Tribolium castaneum: one gene and its partners. The protein of the gene in region 3 interacts with the protein of the main gene of each other region in a pairwise test. Links are inferred from orthologs where the notes say so. Each region holds a gene or a part of one and is shown on either strand. Other genes may lie near its edges.

Region 1 (6,682 bases), on a different chromosome or scaffold from region 3:
CTGACGACGATTCGGATTCACCCCCAGTTTTGGAGAGAGAAAATTACACACCGCCAACGGTGTCATCTTCGTCATCTAGATTGGAAAATGACGATACTCTCAAAGACTTTTTTGATTTTTTGTGTAAAACGATTAAAAAGTTTCCGCCACAACTGCAAACACAAGTTAAGGTTGATTTGTTTAAAATCGTTTCTGAAGCTGAGCTCCGGCTGCAAAGGATGTAATTAAATACCACCTGTTTTAAGTGAAGAATTGTACGGTGTTACCACGTTTAGCCGAATTTGTATTTTTTAATAAATGAATTTGTAATAAAAATTTTGTTTGTTTTGGAGCTGAATAGATAATGAAAGCTTGGTTGGAGGTTTAGGGTATAAAAACATAAGGTGAGATACCAAATATTTATTAACCAATTTGAGTTACAGGTTACATTGAAAACGTAATATAATTTTTTGATATAACATACTGATTAGAGATTAAATTTGAGAACATTTCATAACACTGAAGGAGTACATTGATAAATTTCAAAAATTTCATATCATAAAATCAACGCTACATTTTATAATTCTCTATATTCTAACTAATCTAAAAAGAAATTTTCTCAATAACAATGAAAATATTCGGGTCCGATGATACCGCCAGTAACGATATCACCGCTTCGCCATATTTAACATTAAAAGTGCGTGAATAAAAAATAAACAAATGGTGCTACAATTATTAAGATAGAGACAACTGCAGTGTACATCGCAGTGCCAAAAATAAAGGAAATAAACTTTCAAAGGATACAAAAATATACGCAAGATATTTTCCAAAATTTTAGTCAAACCGAAAATTAAAAATGACTAATTTGTCGTCCCTTGCCTTCAATCGAGGGACATCTCGATCGTGCAGTGTTGTCCTACTAGCCATTTATTGTCTACACGTTTTCGTATTTTTGATAAAATATCGATTTCATTGCGTCGTTCGATTGAATTTCTGACAACACTTAAATCTAGCTGGTGAGACCTACATTGTAACATTTGAGCGCTGTTTAACATATGTACGCTGTTAACAATGTGTCCGCTTGTACATCACAGATAGTTTCATGATAAGATGGCAACTTAACTTCAAACAATCTATCCCGGTGGAAGCGTTCGGGAGTCACCCATTCACACTCTATATTACATTATAAAGATTTTATTCAATATTCAACGCTTTGGACTAGGGTTAAGAGTTACAATAGCAGGCTAATTTCGCTATAATCACTTTGATATTCAGGTACTTGATCTTTGCTTATACACACACACATCAGCGGCCGTTTGTCCTTCCCGAGCAAATGCATTTGTTTTGGTTGAACTCTTGAAAATTTTCGCTATCACAGATGTAGACGGCCCCGGACAGAAACACGCGATATATCATTTCTCTACTAATTATCCTACGGAATAAGGTATTGGAATGGCGTCTAAACGGATTTCTTTCATTTTTATTGGTCGTGGTGTAAATATAGGAACAGCACCTTTCCGATAACAGCGATCTCGATGTGACGTGTCTTTTAACACACAAATCTCATAAAAATAAACATGTTGGTGTTTGTTGCTTACGCAGGCGGCAACAAAGAATTACATACCAACACAATAATACTTTTTGTTAAAATCGAACCTATCACAAGCACAACATATTAAAAAATAAAATGCACTATCGCATGGTGGAACACTGCAATGACATTCACACTCTTATTCGATTGTTAACTTGGTTTTGTCAGTTCTTTTGCCGTTAAGCGAGTTGAGATTGAAACGACAGTATTTTTCTTGTACAGGTACTCGGTAGAAAGCTTCAATATTATTAGCTGCATTTTGTGTGTTAACAATCGTTGTTTGTTCGAAAGTATAAGAGTTACTTATATCACAGATGTTTTTCTTCTTATCGCTACTTTATACAACAAAAATTAATTAGATCGAACACAATAACAACTTGTCATTCTTAGTCGAGCTTGGACCGTGATAATATTCATCCAACACGACGGAAAACATTTATAATCGAAAACGTAAAATCAGTGCATTTTAAGTAGACTTAAAACAATACATTTACAGCACAACAACTTAAGTCACTCAACGAAACCGATGATTATTCTAAAAAAATAAATCAACAATTCTCTCTCTTTTTTTGATTACTTTAAGTAGATTTAAACTGCGCAACTCGAGGTCGCACGATGGTCCTTTTTCTATTTACATGCAGTTGTTGAACTATAACATTCGAAAATAATACTAAACAGATTCTTCTCAGTTGGGTCGTACGTAGATGGTTTATTTACAGTTTTTTGTTTTTTTTTTTTTCGCTTAATTGTTGTACTTAACTAGTGCAGGTCAGCTAGAACTATCGGCAACAAGTACTCGTCTGAATCTCCCGCCGTCGGATTACGGATGACGGGGTGGAGATCCGCAGTCTTTGTGGGGGCCCACGGCTGCTTCAAGTGTAGCTGAATATCCTGAAAAACGGGAAAAGCTCGAGTTCAAAACTAAGAAAAGTATTGTGAATCTAAATAAAAGCGCCTTCAGCGTCTGTCACATTTACCAAATTTTGAATATTTTTTAGTTTCCTCTACGGAAAACGATAACTTAGGATCGCAGAATTTTCTGAACCCAAAAAAATAGTACGGCAGGGTATAAATGAGGGCGCTTCGAATGTTGTACCGTCTCGGCGCCTACTCGTTTTAAATTTATTTAAATCCAACCAATTCACTAATTACTTGGAAAAAATGCAAAAATGTTGAACTCTGCACTGTTAACAGACTAAGAAAAACTGCTGATTAAAATTTTCATCAGAAATATGAAAAAAAATTAAACTGAAAATTCGTCCCGTATTTTTCGAAACACTGTGAATACTGTTAAAGATACAAAAAGATAGTTGAAGAAAATTAAATTTCCTTTAAAAAACTCAGCGAGACCGTATCTCTATCATCAACGGTTTAGGCCCTCAAGACGTGGTCAAGTAACGGAGACTTTTTTTATACCTAAACTGTAGAAGATAGAAATATGGACTTTTTTGTAGAAAATTCAATTCTCTACAACTTTGTTCCTTACATTTTTTTTGTATCTTGAACCGTATTTCCAGCGTTTTGATAAATATGGGGGGGTGTGCAAAGAACTGTCGCTGAGAATTATCAATTTGCGTTTAGATATCCGTAGTTTACTCAATTAACATTAAAATTAGCACTAGTACGCACAAAGCGATTATGTTTTCATGTCAGTATTAAGATAACAAAAACTGTTAAAAGTACTGTTTAATTATTTTTTATTACATAATTATTCTTGCTTTATTGCAACTTAACTGTTACATCCTTGAACAGAAAATGAATTATTCCATCGCACATGTAGTTCATAGCTATTAATTCACCTTTTTATTACAAAATTATATTTTTACTAGAGTCTAAAATTTAGTTCAGATAATTATAGTGTATTAAATTTAATAGCACGTAATTATAATTTTTCCTGTCAGTTCCTTAAAAATAACAAAACATTTGAGCCGATGTTGACTTGTTTTAGCTTAACCGGTCATGATAAAAGATTCAATTGTTATTACGAGTCAAGGCAGTCCACAGTTTTGTTTTTTCCTGCTTTCGCAATTATTTTGCCTTAAAAGCAGTATCACCGTGGAAAAATGCTGATTGTGCAAACATAAACAATTGAACAACATCTGTTCGCATATTTGCCACAGTCTAAATAACAACAATCGGATTGAATAACTGTTGATTTTTTACTCACAATTAAATTTTCTTGCCCCAAATAATTGCTGTTCGAAAACAGCACATCGTCTTCAGCGACTTCCAACTTCTTCAATTTCTCGCCACGAAGTCTGGCGATGGCGACCAAATTCTCTTCGCGATATTTGTAACCGTAGAAGACTAATTCGCTCAAATTGGAGCACAGCCATGACATCATGACCAGTGGATCGGGGCTCAGATCCCGCTGAGACGCCAAGAACGACCAAGTTTCTTCGTTGTTGCCCATGGAATCGACCCAAACGAGGCTCCGCAACGTGTGGTTGTAGAAGGCTGAGATGAACTCCAACGTTTCGAGGTTGACATGTTCGCAAAAGAACACCCGGAGGTGGGTTAGGGGCATTTCGTCTCTGAGGATGGTTTCGTGCAGGTGTTGGACTTCGTCGTACGAGTGGATGACGTTGACGCGGAGCTCGCACTTGGGGTGTTTGGCTTTGAAGATGGTCCAAGCGGCGTTCGTGGTGCTAGGGTGGCCCTCCCGGACACCGTGCAAGTGCACCACGAGGCGCTCCAGGTGCGTGGAGGCGTCCAAGCAGCTGAGGAAGGTGTCCGAAAGTTGGTCGAAGTCTATGCTCAACACCTGAAAATTAGCCGTTTCAAACTGGTTCAATTGGCCGCGAAAACCTACCTTTAAATTCGTAAAAGGTTTAATTAAATCACATTCAAAATACGAATCTTCGTACTCGTTCGGGTTATCCTTGACTGACGCTAACCCCAGAAGTGTAACTTTTTCCGGCTGCTGGCTCCCTAAAATCGTTAAGTACTCGTCGAGGTAAAGGGCAAAGTCTTCGATGCAGCCGATACTGAATTTGGTCAAGTTAGGGAGACATCGTTTTAACTTGGCTATCACATTATGCATATTCGAACTGAAATTTGGTTTTCGTGAGACGGCTTTTTTTTTTGGGGTCGTCGTACCTGGATTTGGTGCTGTATCTCGCGATATCGAAATGGCAATGCGTGGGTTCGATAATCAGTTCTTTTAAATTGTTATTTTCGCTTAGAGTTTCGATGAGAGCGACGAACTCGTCAGTGCATTCCGGCGCCAGAGTGTTCACTTGAATTTTCGCACTGGAGACGATCCGACCGAAGACCGACGTGAAAAATTTCGACCTTTCGATATTGCACGGTTCGATTTTGAAAGTGACCTCCGGCCACCACCTGAATTGTAATATTAGCGCGATATTGGGCAAAAGAGAAAGTGACTTACTTTGGATGAAAGATGTTCTGTCGCCAATTTTTGCACACACGGGACGCATTCTGGCGGTCATTTTTGCTCAACAAGTCGAAAATGTCGTGGATTACGATCGAGGGAAGATGAGCCCAAAACGCGACTCGTTCCTCCTCTGAAGTCTTTGATTTTTTTGGCTTTGGGCAATCTCCGAAACAGGCGAAATTGTCACTGTTCATATCTAAAATTTCGCATTTTTTAGTCATTTACTTTCCCTTTTATGAAATTAGCAAGGACGTGTGTGAGGATGGAAATTTACCACTGCTTTTGCGTATCAATTTTATTGACATGATCACAACACTGTCAATACTATTTCTAATTTTAACGGAGGAACTACCAAATCACGAATTTTAAACCAAAAAGTCGAAGAAATTACTCAAAAAAATCCTTAATTTTTTTCAGAGTTAATATGACGACAGTTGACTGGGATTCTTGTGTTTTTTTATAATCAAATGGACTTGTTCACAAGAACATGCATTATCAACACGAAAAAAACACACAATACGTACCTGGTTTACATTTGTAATAATCGGAAAACATTAACAAAACTTAGAAAAACGGATTAGAGGAGTTTTACATATGTTTGATTACAATGACAGTTCGAAGCGAATTGACGTAAAGAAAAACAATGAACAGTCAGATGGGGAGGATGTGGCAACAGCGCATGTTTCAAGGACGAATGCATAAAAGTCACCTTGCCCAACAACCCCACCAATATTGAGCTAATTTTTCAAATACATCAATAAGAGCTTCACAATTTTAATATTTTTGCCGTAACAAACGAATTTCAATCATGCAATATCATCAAAAACGTAATTTGACAGTCAACAGATGAAACCCATTTTATGCGATAAAAACAATTTTTACAGTTAAATTAGTTATTCATAGATGAAGTATGTTCGATTAAAACCCACACATGCTATTTATGTGGACTTATGTACTAATTACTCAACATTTAAGCATGAACTTCCAAATTTCCCGCTTTTTGTCCACCTCCAAAGCCAAAAAGTTATATAAAAAATATTGAAAGCATTTATTGCAACAAATTCCGTATGTGGTAAGCCGTGGCTTTATTTACTCTTCAAAAATTTATTTAATAATTAATTATTTTTTAATTTCAAGCAATTGATTTGGCAACAACACATGCGCCATATTGCATGAGTTGACATTTCAAAAACGTAACCTCAACTTTTCATTACAAAGCAGTTCTTTTAGTTTCAAAAAAATGGATTGTCTCATTGGAATCAAATTTAACGATTTCGCGATTATCGCCGCTGACATGACCAACGCTCACAGCATAATGGTCATGAAGACAGGTATGTTTTTACCCCGTTTTTGACCGACAACCCTAGCGGTTTTTCAGACGAGGATAAACTCTACAAATTGTCCAACAAACTGGCAATGGCCATCGCGGGGGAGCAAGGCGACACCAACCAATTCGCCGAATACATTGCGAAGAACGTTCAGTTGTACAAAATGCGGAATAACTACGAATTGAGCCCCAAGGAGGCGTCGCACTTCACACGCCGCATTTTGGCCGATAATCTACGATCTAGGGTATGCAAAGGCAGGGGCGTACGGAGACTCACGTTTATTTTGTAGACGCCCTATCATGTGAATTTGCTTTTGGCTGGGTATGACAACCAAGAGGGGCCCCAGTTGTACTTTATGGATTATTTGGCGTCTGTGGCAAGTGTGGA
Region 2 (6,682 bases), on a different chromosome or scaffold from region 3:
AAAGGATTGTAACAAAGGTTTGGCCGTGAAGACTGCGATTTTTTCTAAACAAATATTTTGAATACATTTTAAGCGAAGGTTATTTTACTGCAATTTTTTGGAAGAATTTTTGTACCAGGAAATCATCGAATTTATCTCGTGAAAGAGCGAAAAAGTAAGTTCACTTTACAACGAAACAATTTTGAACTATGGAATTTGGTTGGTAAAGCGAAAAATTGAAATTTCTTGCACTCTGTCTTTGAGTGCAGCTCGTAAAAAATTCATTTCAAACCGTCCAGTGAATTGAATCGTAACTAATCGATTTTGCCATAAATAATCCTTGAACAAGATGTAAGAAAATACGCGGTTCATGACAACGCAATCTATTCCGGTGATGGTAAATTAAATGTAAATTAATTATTGTTGTCACAAGCAAAATTTTTCAAAATCACGTTTTCTAGACAGCTCGTTTAATTAATTGACGTCATTAGGCGCCGCAATTAAAGAGGGAAAACGTTGCGGTTTCTCCATTTCATAAAATTCGGCTTTTACGCTCGATTAATTAGAGGTTTTGTGTCGATATTAGATCGCGATTAGACAACAGAAAAAACAATTTCATGGAACCGTCCTCGGAAACTCGTCTTGTCTCCTAGCAGTCATTCTAGTTCAAGTGTACCGTGTATGTTAATTTTGTCCTGAATGTCGAGCGTGCTTTATTTATGAGATTATTCTTATGTTGAGGAAAAAGAGAGTCACCAGATGAACATTTTTCCCGCCTTTAGTACATCTAAGCTCGCCTCGGATATCAGAAGTAAATCAGCGATTTGTGCGTGCACAAGGCGTTCAACTTTCTACAATTTACATTTAATTATTGTCTTATCATTTTTTCGTCGACAGTTATCTTTTATGTTTATGTTCAGTTTTATTTGTTCTCAGACGGGTTCATTAGGTGCATAAAAATAGCGACAAACGGTATTTGTAATTTCCTTTATCTAATATGTTGATTACTGAGGTTTAGCTAAATTTAGCTCGTATCTCGCTTATTTCGGAACATAACGGTAATTTTGTTTGCAGATGTCTGTTCCATCGTAATCGTTTGTGTTTCCTTTACAGCAGTATCCAATGACAATATTATCACCGTACGATACGGCCAGGAAGAAAGAGCCTTCGGCTACTTTTAACGCGGAGAGAGAAACATGTCTGAAATGCTTCGAAAAATGGAGCGAAACCGACCAAGTCGAATTCGTAGAAAATTTACTAGCTAGGATGTGTCACTACCAACACGGGCACATCAATTCCTATTTGAAACCCATGCTGCAGCGAGATTTCATATCTCTTTTACCAAGTAAGTCCCGAAACGTTAGTCCCAGCGGATTTTTTGAGTTGTCTTTCAGAGCAAGGATTGGACCACGTCGCTGAGAATATATTGTCATATTTGGAGGCGGACAGTTTACGGAACGCCGAGTTGGTCTGCAAAGAATGGTTTAGGGTAATCTCAGAGGGTATGCTTTGGAAGAAGCTAATCGAGCGGAAAGTTCGGACGGATTCACTGTGGAGAGGTTTAGCCGAACGCAGACAATGGTACTGAATTAAACCCGAGTTAGTGGGTGTTTAACTTGGCAAATTTCAGGATACAATATTTATTCAAACCACGACCTGGCGAGAACCATCGTCCCCATTCGTTCTATCGAGCCCTTTTCCCGAAAATCATCCGCGATATCGAAAGCATAGAAAGTAATTGGCGGAACGGTCGGCACATCTTGCAGCGAATCAACTGCCGGTCCGAAAATAGCAAAGGGGTTTACTGTTTGCAGTACGACGATCAGAAAATCGTGTCGGGTCTCAGGGACAATACTATTAAAATATGGGACAGAAGTACATTGCAGTGCACTAAAGTTCTTATAGGACATACGGGATCGGTTTTGTGTTTACAATACGACGATAAAGTTATTATTAGTGGTTCTAGTGATTCAACTGTGCGCGTCTGGAACGTTAACACGGGAGAAATGGTCAATACGCTCATACATCATTGCGAAGCCGTCCTTCATCTTAGATTCAATAACGGAATGATGGTCACCTGTTCAAAAGTAAGTCGAAAACCGTATTGGAACTTCATTAGCGAACCAAGTGAAAACCGCCCGCAATTAAACCACCGTTAGAAACTCGGTCTTGGATTTTTTCTTGAAATATGTGTCAGACTCGTCAGCAGATCGCGATCGTAAATTCCCACTGTTTGAACTCGAATACAATTCGGATTAAAAACGGACAAATATTCCCCGTTATCGTTACTTCCACCATTAAAACAATAAATCATGGATTATATCTGGATATTGCAACTACAAAGGAATATTTATATGATAATGAAACGCAAAGTTATTTCGGGGTCACATCCGAGAATGAGACATTAACATAAAAACTCCACAATTGAAAAAAGAAAGCACTCTAATTTTGTCCAAGAATTTATTTTATGGTGCACTAGCTCTAATTGGACACTTAATTACAAATTTCACACTTCCTGTTTGGGTTTTATTTTTAACAAAAACGAAAGTAAATGCATCGCATGAAATTCGTTTTTATAAATTACGAAACGGTACGTGATTGCCAATTAATTTTCGTTCGAAAATTAATTCAAGTTCCTTCCCCAATAAAACCTTGGGCTATTATTAGTTACTTTTTACTAATAATAGCAATGGATTTATTATTGGCATAAGCTAAAGCTTGGCCAATTGTACTGAAAACGGACAAAGCTTGTGGGTGGAACAAATCCGATCCTAAAAAAGGGGCGCGCTTTAAAAGGTCAAAGTTATTCATTAAAGTAGCGCTCGTATTGGCGTTTAATTAAAAAAAAGGCATTGCACAAATGATTCTTACAAAAAAATGAGCTATAAAATGTAAATTTGGTTTAACCTAATTATTTTTGAAAAGGTAACGTGTGAGAATGGGTTTTTAACGCCGTTTTGCGAATTAATGTTTGTTTTTTTCAGGATCGCTCGATAGCTGTGTGGGACATGACATCGCCGAACGAGATCACCCTGCGGCGGGTGCTGGTGGGGCACAGGGCCGCCGTGAACGTGGTCGATTTCGACGAGAAATACATAGTTTCGGCGTCGGGTGACCGAACGATAAAAGTGTGGAACACCTCAACTTGTGAGTTTATGCGAACGTTAAACGGACATAAACGGGGGATCGCCTGTTTGCAATACCGAGATAGGTTGGTCGTAAGCGGAAGTTCGGACAATACCATAAGGTAAACATTGCGGTTAAATGCGCGATAAAGAAACCACAGAACACGATCGATTTCCAGGTTGTGGGATATCGAAGGTGGCGCTTGTCTGCGGGTGCTTGAAGGGCACGAAGAGTTAGTGCGTTGTATCCGTTTCGATTCGAAACGGATTGTCAGCGGGGCTTATGATGGGAAAATTAAAGTTTGGGATCTCGTTGCCGCGCTTGATCCCAGAACGCCGGCCAGTGCTTTATGTCTTCGAACATTGGTAGTAAGTTAATAGTACAGTCATTAAATTCATCTAATATCATAACGCAGCGCTTGACATTTCATTTAATAGAGTTAATAAAGGGCTAATTTTTAACTGAGCGATTGCAGGTAAAGTTGTTATGCTTGCTTGTCCTTTAATGGGCCCACTTAGTGTTTTTTATTTCAAGTTACGAAATAATGTTACGGGTTAATATGTACTTCACTTCACTGTTCGCTGATAAGTGATAATTGTTGAGAAATAGTATCATTGCTGGGATAAGTGACCATTTTCTCGATGAAAAACGCATCAGTATCATAAATATTTTGTAACATGAGCAGAAAATGGATGGCACTTTAATTATAATTAGAGATAGAATCGAAAGAACAATTTTTTGTTTTGGCCATTTGTACACGAAATCTTTCTTTTTCCATAATAGTCGCGATTTGGCAGGTATTTTGCACTTGAAGTTAAATGCTTGTTGCGTTAGTTTAAGGAACCGTGCTAAATGAGCCTATTAGGTGTTCATACCATTGATGTCTTAAATGATTTTTTGACTGATTGCATTCATAAAGTTTCGGTGGGTGTGAGACCCATTCCCGGGTGTCTAAACGTTGGTGTTTCTTGTTTTCAGGAACACACAGGTAGAGTATTCAGGTTGCAGTTTGACGAGTTTCAAATAGTGAGCAGTTCGCACGATGATACAATTCTTATTTGGAATTTCCTCAACTCAATTGGAGAGAGAAACACGAAATCGCCTTCGCCCTCTCGTACGTTGGTTGTGTGTTATTGTTGATTTTTTAACGTTTCCAATTTCAGCGTTTGAGTAAATTGTCCAGAAGCCAATTTGTCATCATGTGTGTGTGAGTGTGGAAGAGACAATTTTGGAGCAAGTGCTCGCATAAACTGACTAGGAATATAAAATTTAGAAAATTATTTGTAATAATTGTGTATAATGTTATATTTAAATTGGATATATTTATGTCTTAATTTATAATATGAAGCGTATTTGACATAATTGGAGTTCGTTTTTTACGTGTTTCGTCTTTATGAAAAATTTTTGCTGTTGTGTTTCCTAGACCGAATTAAGATGTCGACACAAAACCTCTGTTGATCTGTTGTAACCTAAATGAGTTTAACTACGAATTATGTGATAGTACGTTTAAAACATCTAAAGTGCGGTTTTCATCGTGTGCGCCATTAATCTTGTTGACGTTTTACATTTGTTTTATTTCGTTATCGTTGAATTTGCAAAAATGAACAACTAATTTTAGCTCTCTAGTCTATGAAATTTCAATGATAGGCTACACACGTTATTTTAGGAATCAAGTTGTTTTAAAATTCTCACACTATAGTGCGGTTTCTACAGTTTGTTGGGCTTTCTAGTCTGTAATCATTCTTTGCAAACTTAGAAAGTGAGTTTAGTCGGCAAAAATTGTATAGTAAGTTTTAAATTTATAGGATTTTGGGGTGAATTCAGTGATGATTAATTTTAGTTTAGGATTATTTTACATCATTTTCATCAAGTTGGAAATTGTGATCTATTATTTAGGGTTCTCCATATTTATTATGGGAAAATGATTGCAACCAAAAGTACTTTTTGTTTTGTTTGGTGCATTAATTTAATGAGGCTGCAAGTGTACTGGGATTCCAAGAAGTGGCCACGGGCTGTTCTTGCTATTTATTTTAGACGATTCTGCCAAAATGTAGTATTTCTCCTAGATTAGATTTACAAGTAAACTTATAACGGCTTTTGTGATAAAATCTTACAGTAAAATTTGTATGCCTGTTTTGTACTATAACTGGAATGTACACTATTCATGTTAAAAAAAAACACTATCAATAAGGCACTAAATCATTTTATAGGTTAATGTAAATATTATGAATGTAGTGGTAACATCATTTGCATTTACTATTTTTATTTAGAGTTATTTATATTTTATGCGTGTAAGTAATACATTTTGCTGAGACAAACCCTGGTTTTATTTCGCAATTAAAAACGGAATTATCCCAAAAATTTATTAAATAAAAACAGTACAGTCTTAATTGAGGCAACATTTAGTTAGGCGTTTTCAACATAAAATTAATCTGCAAATAATGCAGGACGTCTTTACTCAGCGGAACATCGCTAAAATATTCCCCAAAGTTCAAACAAATTTTAAATAAACTGTGTTTAACGGCTGCAATAACAGCATTTTTCATCCGATAATTGAAATCGTCCAGAGCTGCGACTTTCCTCGACAAAGACGGGACTTTGTTCAGTTTGTCCAAACTCTGTTTCAACTGAACCAAACTTGATATAATCACAGGCAAGTCCTTCTGAACTATGCCGTATTTATCCTCAACCAACGAAACAGCCGCCAGTTCGGAAATTCCCTGACTTGCCCAAATTATCAATTGTCCATTCCCCAAACACTTCTGAATGTTGACTTGGGGCAACTCCCCAAACAGGAAATTTATTCCAAACAGGATTTTCACGAACGAAACAATTTTCTGGACACTTTCATCAATACTTTTCTTGAACGATTTGACGCTATTTGAAGATCCAGTGTGTGTGACATTCACCACATCCAAGTAATCACTACTCATCGACAAATTTCTTAAATTCCTGAACTTGAGACTCGGATCTGTTTGAGGTGATTGGACCACTGGTGAAAATGGAGTGATGGTTTCGGTTTGTTTCTTCGGTTTTTCTTGCGTTGGTGGTTCTGTAGATTTTTTCAAAAGGTTGGTGTAGTCCGAGAATAGTTTTAGCACACTTTCAGTCAAGGAGTTCCAGTTGTGGGGATGTCCTCCAGGTTGTGATAAAGTGAAGAGTAACTGTCGCCGCATTGGGGACCATTGAGATAATAGGAATAAGTCCAAACATGCTAGGTTTTGAATTATTGGTAGATTATCCATGTTTATGGCTTCTTGGAGAGTTAAAATATAAACATTTTCCTTAACAATTGGAAACTGAACCGGTTCGGTGAGGAACAAATGGAAAAAGAATCGCATCAGATTGTTACTGAAGCAATACAAGGTCGCAAACCACCACAAATAAACATAAACTAAAACACTACTCTCGCGTGAAGCTCTGTCCAAATTAACCAAAGCCACAAAACGACTCTCTAATTGATTCCCCCAAAAGTAATAAAATAAAGCAAAATAAAAAGTGGGCCAAACGGCCATTGCCAAACTTTGCTTAAACAACACAGAAACATTGGTGCGAAACTGCAGAAACTTCCGCTGTT
Region 3 (7,858 bases):
GAGGTCAACCCCAACATCAACCAGAAAAAACTGATCAAATTTTGCAAAGACCGCGACATTGTGGTTGTCGGTTTTTGCCCCTTGGGACGAAGCAATTACGTCGGCCTGCGCCCCAATTTCCCCACCCCCACGATCCACGACCCCAAAGTCATCGAAATGGCGAAAAAATACAACAAAACGCCCGCACAAATCGTCTTAAACTATCTAGTTTCATTGGGGATTTCGGTCATTCCGAAATCGGTCACCCCGTCACGCATCGCCGAAAACATCGACATTTTCGACTTTCGGCTAGATACCGACGACATTGCGTATTTGGACGCGTGCAACAAGAATCAAAGATGCAGCCCCCAGAGCAACCACGCCGACCACAAATACTTCCCGTTCAAAATCGAATTTTAATAAACACTTACCAGAGTCACGTACGCGTATTTAATATCCTCGTCTTTCACCACGTAACCCTTGGCCGGGACGCGTCTCGTTGGCCCCAGAGCGATCCGAGTCCGCACATCAACCACCTTAATATTGTAGATTTTTTCTAAATAATTCCTAATGTCGTATTTGGTCATTTGCATCGAACATGAGAACTGGACGATGTTAGGCGGCTGTTCGTGCGTGGGGCGCACCAATTTGAGCCAAAAGTTGGGCAAGAAGACGCGCAACTGCGGGCCCCCTCTTTGATAAATGGGGTACCTAAGGGGCAAGACTCGCACTAGGGCTAACAATGTGCTCGAAAATTACCATCTTGTGGACATTCTCGCTCGATTTGTTGAGATATTTTTGAATTAAATGAGACTAAAGTTGAGGTTACGTTGACTATGGCGCGTGCTACCAACCTGACGCCCACAGAATAACAGGTTTTACAGAAACGCATCTGTCCTTGTCCGGATAGAGCGAAAGTGTCACTAGCACATCTATTGTTGCCAGCGCGTACTAAGCGTTATCGGCGGGCGATTTGAATTGCCCGTAGTTACTTTTCTTTTAAAGTTTGATTGCATTTTTCGTATTGTTTGTAAATATTCACAACAATAGTTGCTAATAACACTTTCTGATGTTAGACAACTATTGTTGCTGAATATTTACAAAGAATACGAAAAATAAAATATGAGAATAAATAAAGACAATAAACTTGTAATAAAAATTTATTATCACTAGTCAATATACACGATACGATAACTATAAACTAATGATTGATCCATCAAATTATTTATATTCCCACAATAAAAAAGTTCAAAAAAGCACACACACGAAAAAAACCACAAAACAGTACTAATTTCACATAAAACAAAGCCGAGGGCGAACACCAAACAAACCAAGCACAAAATGGCGATTTACACAATGGCAACTGTCACAGGTCCACTGTTAATTTCTGCCGATATTATAGGTAGCTTCGCTAAAATTGACTATACGTGTGTGCGACATCTGCGATAGCAAGCCGAACTACAGTCGATTTTGAATTTGGCGCCTATACTTGGCTTGGTGCATTTAGGTTTCACCACCCTGCTGACGCCGAAAATATTCCTACTTTTTTCAAAACTACAAAAACTTGCACTTGGAGAATTAAAATAATACAATCATTGTTGTGGAACAAATGCAAGAATGCGGGATTATTAAATTAAAAAACTAGTTATTTGATAAAAAACAGTTTATTCAAAAATCGCTGATGTACACTGACAAACAAACAGAATTGGCAAGAAACCAGGTCAGTGGTTTAGCTCGTAATTCGGGGTCCCTTTGTGACACTGAAGTTACGTGCCCAAAATGACACCTTAACGTCATAATCTCAATTTGCACACTACAAATTGAATTTCCTTAATCCTAACACAATTCCAGTTTAATGAGCCGTGATGATGATTGTGACTGCGACGTTTTGGAAACGAAACAGAAGCTCAAACACATCAAATGCAAAATTATTAAATTAATGAATGAACAACTATCCAAGTCGGAAAATTTCGTGGAGGATGAAATCAAGCGAAATGGGTGTTTTACCCGAGGGTTAGTTGTGGTTAAAAAGCTGCCAATTAATTGCGAGTTGTAGGTGTTGGTGGTCCTTGTGTTCCTCCAGGACGTGGCTGTACTTTTTAGGGTTTTTAACGATGATATTTGTAGCGGTTTTAATGGGGGCGTTTATGGGGGCCCGCATTTGCGGGAACGAGGCGGGGTCTTGCGATGATTATGGCGTATTTTAACACTTGTATACTATATTTTATCCGACACCTATTATAATTGGTTAAGGTGCAAATAAACAACCAGTTGGGTCGAAATGGCGTTTGATTTAAATAATCATATTACAATAAAACAATGAACGCAATTTTGGAAATAATCTTAAATAAAAAAAATACGAGTTTACTTCTCCTCACACCATTCGTTCTCCTTGCGCACTTGCTCCTCCTCGGAGGCTGTGAAGTCGTTCTTGATGTTGAAAGTCTTGCGGATCTCCTCGGGGGCCTTGCCCTTGATCATGTTGGCGACTGTCTTGCAAGTCACATCGAGCAGCCCCTTGATGTCCAGGTAATTCGCCGCCAGGATCAGCTCAAACAAAGTGCCTTGGTCCACTTTGAGAAAATCGGCGTCCCATGACGAAATATCATCCGTGCGTTTCTCCTTGTTCTCGTCGTCTTCGGGCGGTGGAGGATCATCTTTGTGATAAGTGGACCACTGGATAACTTTCTTCAAAATCGCCGAATTGACATTGGGGAGAGGCACCACTTCCTCTTCCTCCTCGTCCATCCCCAGGTCCTCCAGCATGGTCTTGATGGTCACTGAACATTTCGCGATCTCCACGTCCACCTCGAACGTTTCACCGTCGGAGGAACGCAGTTTAATATTCGGCATTTTTCACGGTTTTTCTTCGATGACAGAATATGACAATAGACGGCAATAATGGTGGATGACAGGTGTAACGCGCAAGCGTCCCCACACGGGCGCCAGATTCGAACCAATTGTTATAAACAAATTAATTCAAAACGAGTTATTGCAGCAAATACGCAATGACGCGGCAAAATTTTCATCAAAACACGTAGCGCGTTATTTGCCTCGGATAATGTAATATGGGAAGAGCCGCAATATAAAGCTTAATTGTGCGTTAAAATTGTTGCACTTGGTTTGCGCAAGACCCCGCTCTTGATTTAAAAGAGGTGGCCCAAGAATTTGGGAGCCAGATTGTCCGTCTTCACCGCCTGTCTCCAAGCCAAACAATGGTAAGTCTGTCTGAGTCGTCTTTTTTGATTTTCTCCTTATCACCCTCTTTCTTACACATTATTTTGAAATTTTTGCGATAACACTCTTTATTGCATAAAAACAACTAATTGTAACAATCTGACGCAACAATTGACCGAATCTTTATTACTTGAAAACTTCCAATTCTTATCTAACTTGACTTCTCAAGTGTTTTGGAGCAAAACACAAACAAATTGTTATCTGATTTTTAGGGTTCCACAACAATGAAAAAGTCCATTACGGACCACCGAATCACTTTGTTGTTATTCGTCAGCATTATTTTCCTATCTATTGAAATTACCCACGGGGCTTTGGTCAAAAACCCCAACTTGCTGAAAAAAAATCATTGCAGGTACTAATTACATAATATCAGGTTTATTTAATTAATTAATTATTTAAGGACACACATTTTTTCTCCCGTGTGCCGCGGGCAGCAAAAGCGAGACATTTTAAGCCGTCTCAGTGACGAGTACAGGTAGTCATTAAAACAATTAAAGTGCAAAAGTTTGATTCATTTGTTAGGGTGCCAGCCCTGGATTCCGATTTTTCGGGGATTGACCGGTCCCGCGATTTCCCTACAATCCTTAACAGTCCGAGTCTTTTCGGGGAACTACTGAAAAAAGCCATAGAATCGTCCCCCGAGTTCGATCCCGAAAATAGCAATTATCTGAAGTGAGGAGAATAATAAAAGACAGGCCGGACAGTATTACCCCAGTATTCCTATTTATTTATTTATTGGATAAAAATAAAATATAAAAACTATGTTCGAGTTTTATTTCTAATCAGAAAATTTGGTGGAGGAATCTTTTGGAATACTCGTAAGTTGCAAAAAGAGTGGCAGTGGATGGAATAGTCCGAACTAACGTTGGAGTCAACCCGTTATAAAGCTGTCTGAAGCCTTCCCGCCTCGATATTTGCAAAATCATTGCAACCATATTCATTTTACTATTAGTGACTTGAATCCGACTTTTGGCCACATCGACTGGATAAGTCAACGTCCAGAAAGACATGCCCCCCAAAGCCCCCGCCACCATTGTCTTAAACAAGCCTATATCGTCCTTGGACTCCCCCGGACGCGCTAGCAAAGTCCTAGTCCCTAAATCACACAGTTACCAACTTGCCGAAGGGCCCATGGCTTCGCAATTAAGTTGGCAACATGAAAACTACGTAACTGTTTTCAAATCACTCAACGGTACCTGAGCACTGCCAACTTAATTTCGAAGTCACGGGTCACTCGATGATTTTACCTTCATAAGTCCCAAAAAAGAAAAAATACCCCGGCATTTCCCTAACTAACGTGGGCACAAGCCCGTGAAAAAACCCCAAAGGCCCTTCGGTCTTCAATATTTGCGCTGCCAGCTTCATGGGCCCCACTCTGACCACTTTGAACCCTTGCATTTCTTGCTGTTTTTGCGTCTCAAACATCGCTTGGAGCTTACATTTGAGAAGTTCCGTGGGGCAAATCGCCACCGAAGAGAAAAACGAGGCCAAAAAACCCGCTGTGGCATTTTGCATCATGCTTAGATCAGCCACGTGTTCGGTATAACTAACTTTTTGAATAAATTTCTGGCAAAAGCCGTAACAAAGAAACAAAACGGAATTTTCGGTAATATTTGCCGCCAAAGCCGGGACTGTACCGGCATACAAACCGCGATAAATTCCATCTGCGCGTAACGTTTTCATGAAACAATCAATCATGTTGTTGTATAAGCTTGGAAACGTCTGCATTTTTACCTTGACGGTGTCCAGGGGCTGGCCGACGTAAACCAACGCGATGCCCCCTTGAAAAACACTTTTTTCGGGTTCAAATCCCCTAACACGTGATAATTACCCAAAAAACCGGCCGTGAAATCAATGATTCCGTCTTTAGCATGGTTGTCCCTCTTAGATTCGGACATTTCTTCAGCATGGCATGTGAAGTACTGATAACAATTAACTTATCCGATAAAACCGTGATTGTTTTGATCGAGAGGTTATGTCACGTGTGCTTCAAACCCTGACCCAATTCCCCCATTTTGGCGCCCCCGCGGCCAGAATTACGCAAATTTGGCCAAAATCAAGCGAAACCACAAAGAACCCAACCTAAACAGCCCCCTTTTCCGTGTCAAATTAGTAATTTTCGGGCCGCTTTGTTGGTAGCGACGTGACGTGTAACGTCAAGTGTCAGCAAATAAACACCACTTTTCTTCCAGTTAACATATTGTGGCGAAAATAAGGTATTAGGGGCCCTTTGGTGTGTCTCGCCTTAATTTGGGGGGTGCTTTAAGGTAGCAAGCATGTCTCAGAGTCCTGGACAGGACCCAGGCGGGGGCCCCGATCCGGGGGCGCCCCCCGGTTCCAGTCAAGAACTGTCGGATCTTAAAGACCAATTCGAGCAACAGCAAGTCTTGATCGCACAACTGAAGGAAATGATCCGGAAAAATGAGCAAACTAACGTAACGCAGGAAAAAGTCGATGAGTATATGAACACTTTGTCGAAACGTCGGGCGAAGAAGTCCAGCGATAACGGCGCCAAAAAAACACTAGACATTCCCGCAAGCCAAAAAATTAACCTCCTGAGACAGCAAGTCGAGCAGAATAAGGTGAGACTTGCTGAAAGGGGGAAGAGTCAGAAAGGGATTGAGGAAATGGTGACGCAGCTCAAGGCACAATTAGACGATTCGCAACATTTAATCAGTCAGTCGCCTCTTAATTTATCGCTTCAAGACCCGAAAATTGACTATAGTGAGAATTCCAATGCCCAGGAGTTGTATGCTGTTTTATTGACTAAGGAAAAACGCATTAGTGACCTTTTGGCTAAGGTGCAGAAACTGGAAACGAACGTCCTTGACTTGCAAGAAAATTTGAAGGAGAAGGATTCGGTCATTGATGCCAGAACTAAAGCTATCACCTTGATGACGGAAAATTTGAGTCGGAAAGGGAAAAACACTCTGGATACGTTGGACGAGACCAAGGAACAGATGAGGAAAATGCAGGAGAACTTTGTGGCCTTGGAGGCGGAAATGAAAGCTCGCCAAATGAAACTCCTCGAAGATTTGAGGCTCAAAAATTACGAAATTGCCGAACTACAGGAAACCAATGCCAATTTAGAAAAACAAATAAGTGAGAAAGCCGAAGATTTAGAACTGGATTTAAAGACGGAAAATTCGCGTCTCTTGGATAAAATAAGAGAGTTGGAGGTGAAATTGGAGGAGAGTCAAGAAAGCGAAGAGGTGGCCAAGCTGAAAAAACAATTGGAAGAAGCCAATAAAAACATGATCAAGGTCAAGGCACAGCACAAATCCAAAGTTAAAGAATTGACCAAGAAAATCGAGTCGTTCAAAAAAATGAGCGACGCCAATGCGGAAATTGTTAAACTCGAGGCGGAAAATAGCCGTTTGAGTCAGAAAATCGCCGAATTGGAGGAGGAGAAGGGAAGTCTACAGTTGAAGTTGGTGGAATCTGATTCCAACAAAGGTAAAAAATTGTGCGAAATTAAACAATTTGGGGGAATTACCGGTTTTAGGTTCTGAAACAGAACGTGAAAATGAGTTGGAAAATAAAATCCAAGATCACGAGAGAATGTTGGAGGAAAAGGACAAGATTATTTCAATTTTAGAATCCGGTGAGTTGTTTTAATGTCTTGTACAATAATTAAGTGTTTTTTTTTTGGTAGAAATTTCGCGATCGAAAACCGAAATCGACAATCTGAACGAGAAATTGAACGGTCAAGTCAAGTCTGAAATGGTTTCCATTCAGTTTGAGGAGCAACTCGAACGTGTTGAAAGTGAGAAGAGACAGTTAGTTGAAGAAAACGAAAGAATTTGTAAAGAGAAAGAACAGTTGGGTGAACAGTTGGAACAATTGAAGAAGGAAAAACAAGAAGTGGCAACAAAATTGGAACACTACATTCAGGAAAATATGGAATTGATCGATAAATTGGAAAAGTTGAGTGCGGAAAAAGTTTCGTCGGCTGAAAGTATCGAAATTGTTGAAAATCTGACCCAGCAGGAAAAACTCGAACTGGAAGCCTATCACAAGAATTTAGATTTGGTTGGTGGTAATTTGAAAGCAAGCGAAGAGAATCTTCCACAAGTCGATTTGAACGAAAGTGTTAACGAATTGACTGAAGAAACGTCCGAATTGCTTCAGAAAATCGAGTTGTTTACGGTTGAACGAAGAGAAGTCATGGAGAAGATGGAACAATTGAAGCAGGAAAATTTGAACCTGAATATGAAGATTAAAGAGATTGAGAATAACCGTGATGTTTTAGCCGAGACCTACGAACAATTGCAAAGCGAAAAGGAGCAACTCGATGCCAAATTGGAGAAGTTTGGAGATTTGGAGGAAAATTCTCGTCTTAATAATGCAATTATCGACTTGAATCGAACTCTTGCCGACTTGGAAAATGATAATAAGAGTCTTCAAATGAAAATCGAACAGTTGGAAGAGAGCAATAACCACTTGACTGAAGAACTCGAAATTGTCAAGAATTCAGAATCGGAAAATCGCCAACTAGTCGAAAGCAAAGGCAACGAAATCGTCAAACTAATCAAAGAGAAGGAAAACACAGAAAGCGTGATTGAAAACTTACACAAAACGATTAGAGAGAAAGAAGAAAACTTCCAGCACATAACTTCCGATTTCAAAACCAAGTACTTAA

What was found.
Region 1: the proteins of SkpA (region 3) and F-box/LRR-repeat protein 21 interact in a two-hybrid assay, tested with the Drosophila melanogaster proteins (2 studies listed by BioGRID). The link is inferred for Tribolium castaneum from reciprocal best matches to the Drosophila melanogaster genes SkpA and CG4911.
Region 2: the proteins of SkpA (region 3) and slmb interact in a two-hybrid assay, tested with the Drosophila melanogaster proteins (3 studies listed by BioGRID). The link is inferred for Tribolium castaneum from reciprocal best matches to the Drosophila melanogaster genes SkpA and slmb.

What each region holds. Positions count from the first base shown.
Region 1 is NC_087396.1:16,683,915-16,690,596, forward strand, and holds F-box/LRR-repeat protein 21, read right to left. Parts: upstream 5,653-6,682; 5' UTR 5,523-5,652; coding exon 5,492-5,522; intron 5,401-5,491; exon of another isoform or gene 5,273-5,400; coding exon of another isoform or gene 5,242-5,272; intron 5,164-5,241; coding exon 4,962-5,163; intron 4,913-4,961; coding exon 4,670-4,912; intron 4,621-4,669; coding exon 4,383-4,620; intron 4,335-4,382; coding exon 3,738-4,334; intron 2,462-3,737; coding exon 2,330-2,461; 3' UTR 385-2,329; downstream 1-384. Other genes in the region: uncharacterized protein LOC656448, read left to right, coding at 1-224; Prosbeta4 (proteasome subunit beta type-2), read left to right, coding at 6,208-6,298, 6,346-6,539, 6,585-6,682.
Region 2 is NC_087397.1:4,518,038-4,524,719, reverse strand, and holds the end of slmb (supernumerary limbs), read left to right. Parts: intron 1-790; exon of another isoform or gene 791-1,037; intron 1,038-1,092; coding exon 1,093-1,324; intron 1,325-1,373; coding exon 1,374-1,560; intron 1,561-1,609; coding exon 1,610-2,066; intron 2,067-2,963; coding exon 2,964-3,226; intron 3,227-3,283; coding exon 3,284-3,473; intron 3,474-4,083; coding exon 4,084-4,219; intron 4,220-4,268; coding exon 4,269-4,279; 3' UTR 4,280-4,658; downstream 4,659-6,682. Other genes in the region: nucleoporin NDC1, read right to left, coding at 5,508-6,682.
Region 3 is NC_087402.1:1,037,489-1,045,346, forward strand, and holds SkpA (S-phase kinase-associated protein 1), read right to left. Parts: upstream 2,911-7,858; 5' UTR 2,833-2,910; coding exon 2,344-2,832; 3' UTR 2,251-2,343; downstream 1-2,250. Other genes in the region: mRpL23 (large ribosomal subunit protein uL23m), read right to left, coding at 411-690, 739-752; 1,5-anhydro-D-fructose reductase, read left to right, coding at 1-399; uncharacterized protein LOC103312555, read left to right, coding at 3,195-3,197, 3,429-3,568, 3,617-3,691, 3,739-3,892; mitochondrial ornithine transporter 1, read right to left, coding at 3,999-4,312, 4,464-4,997, 5,048-5,114; protein lava lamp, read left to right, coding at 5,493-6,672, 6,722-6,820, 6,872-7,858.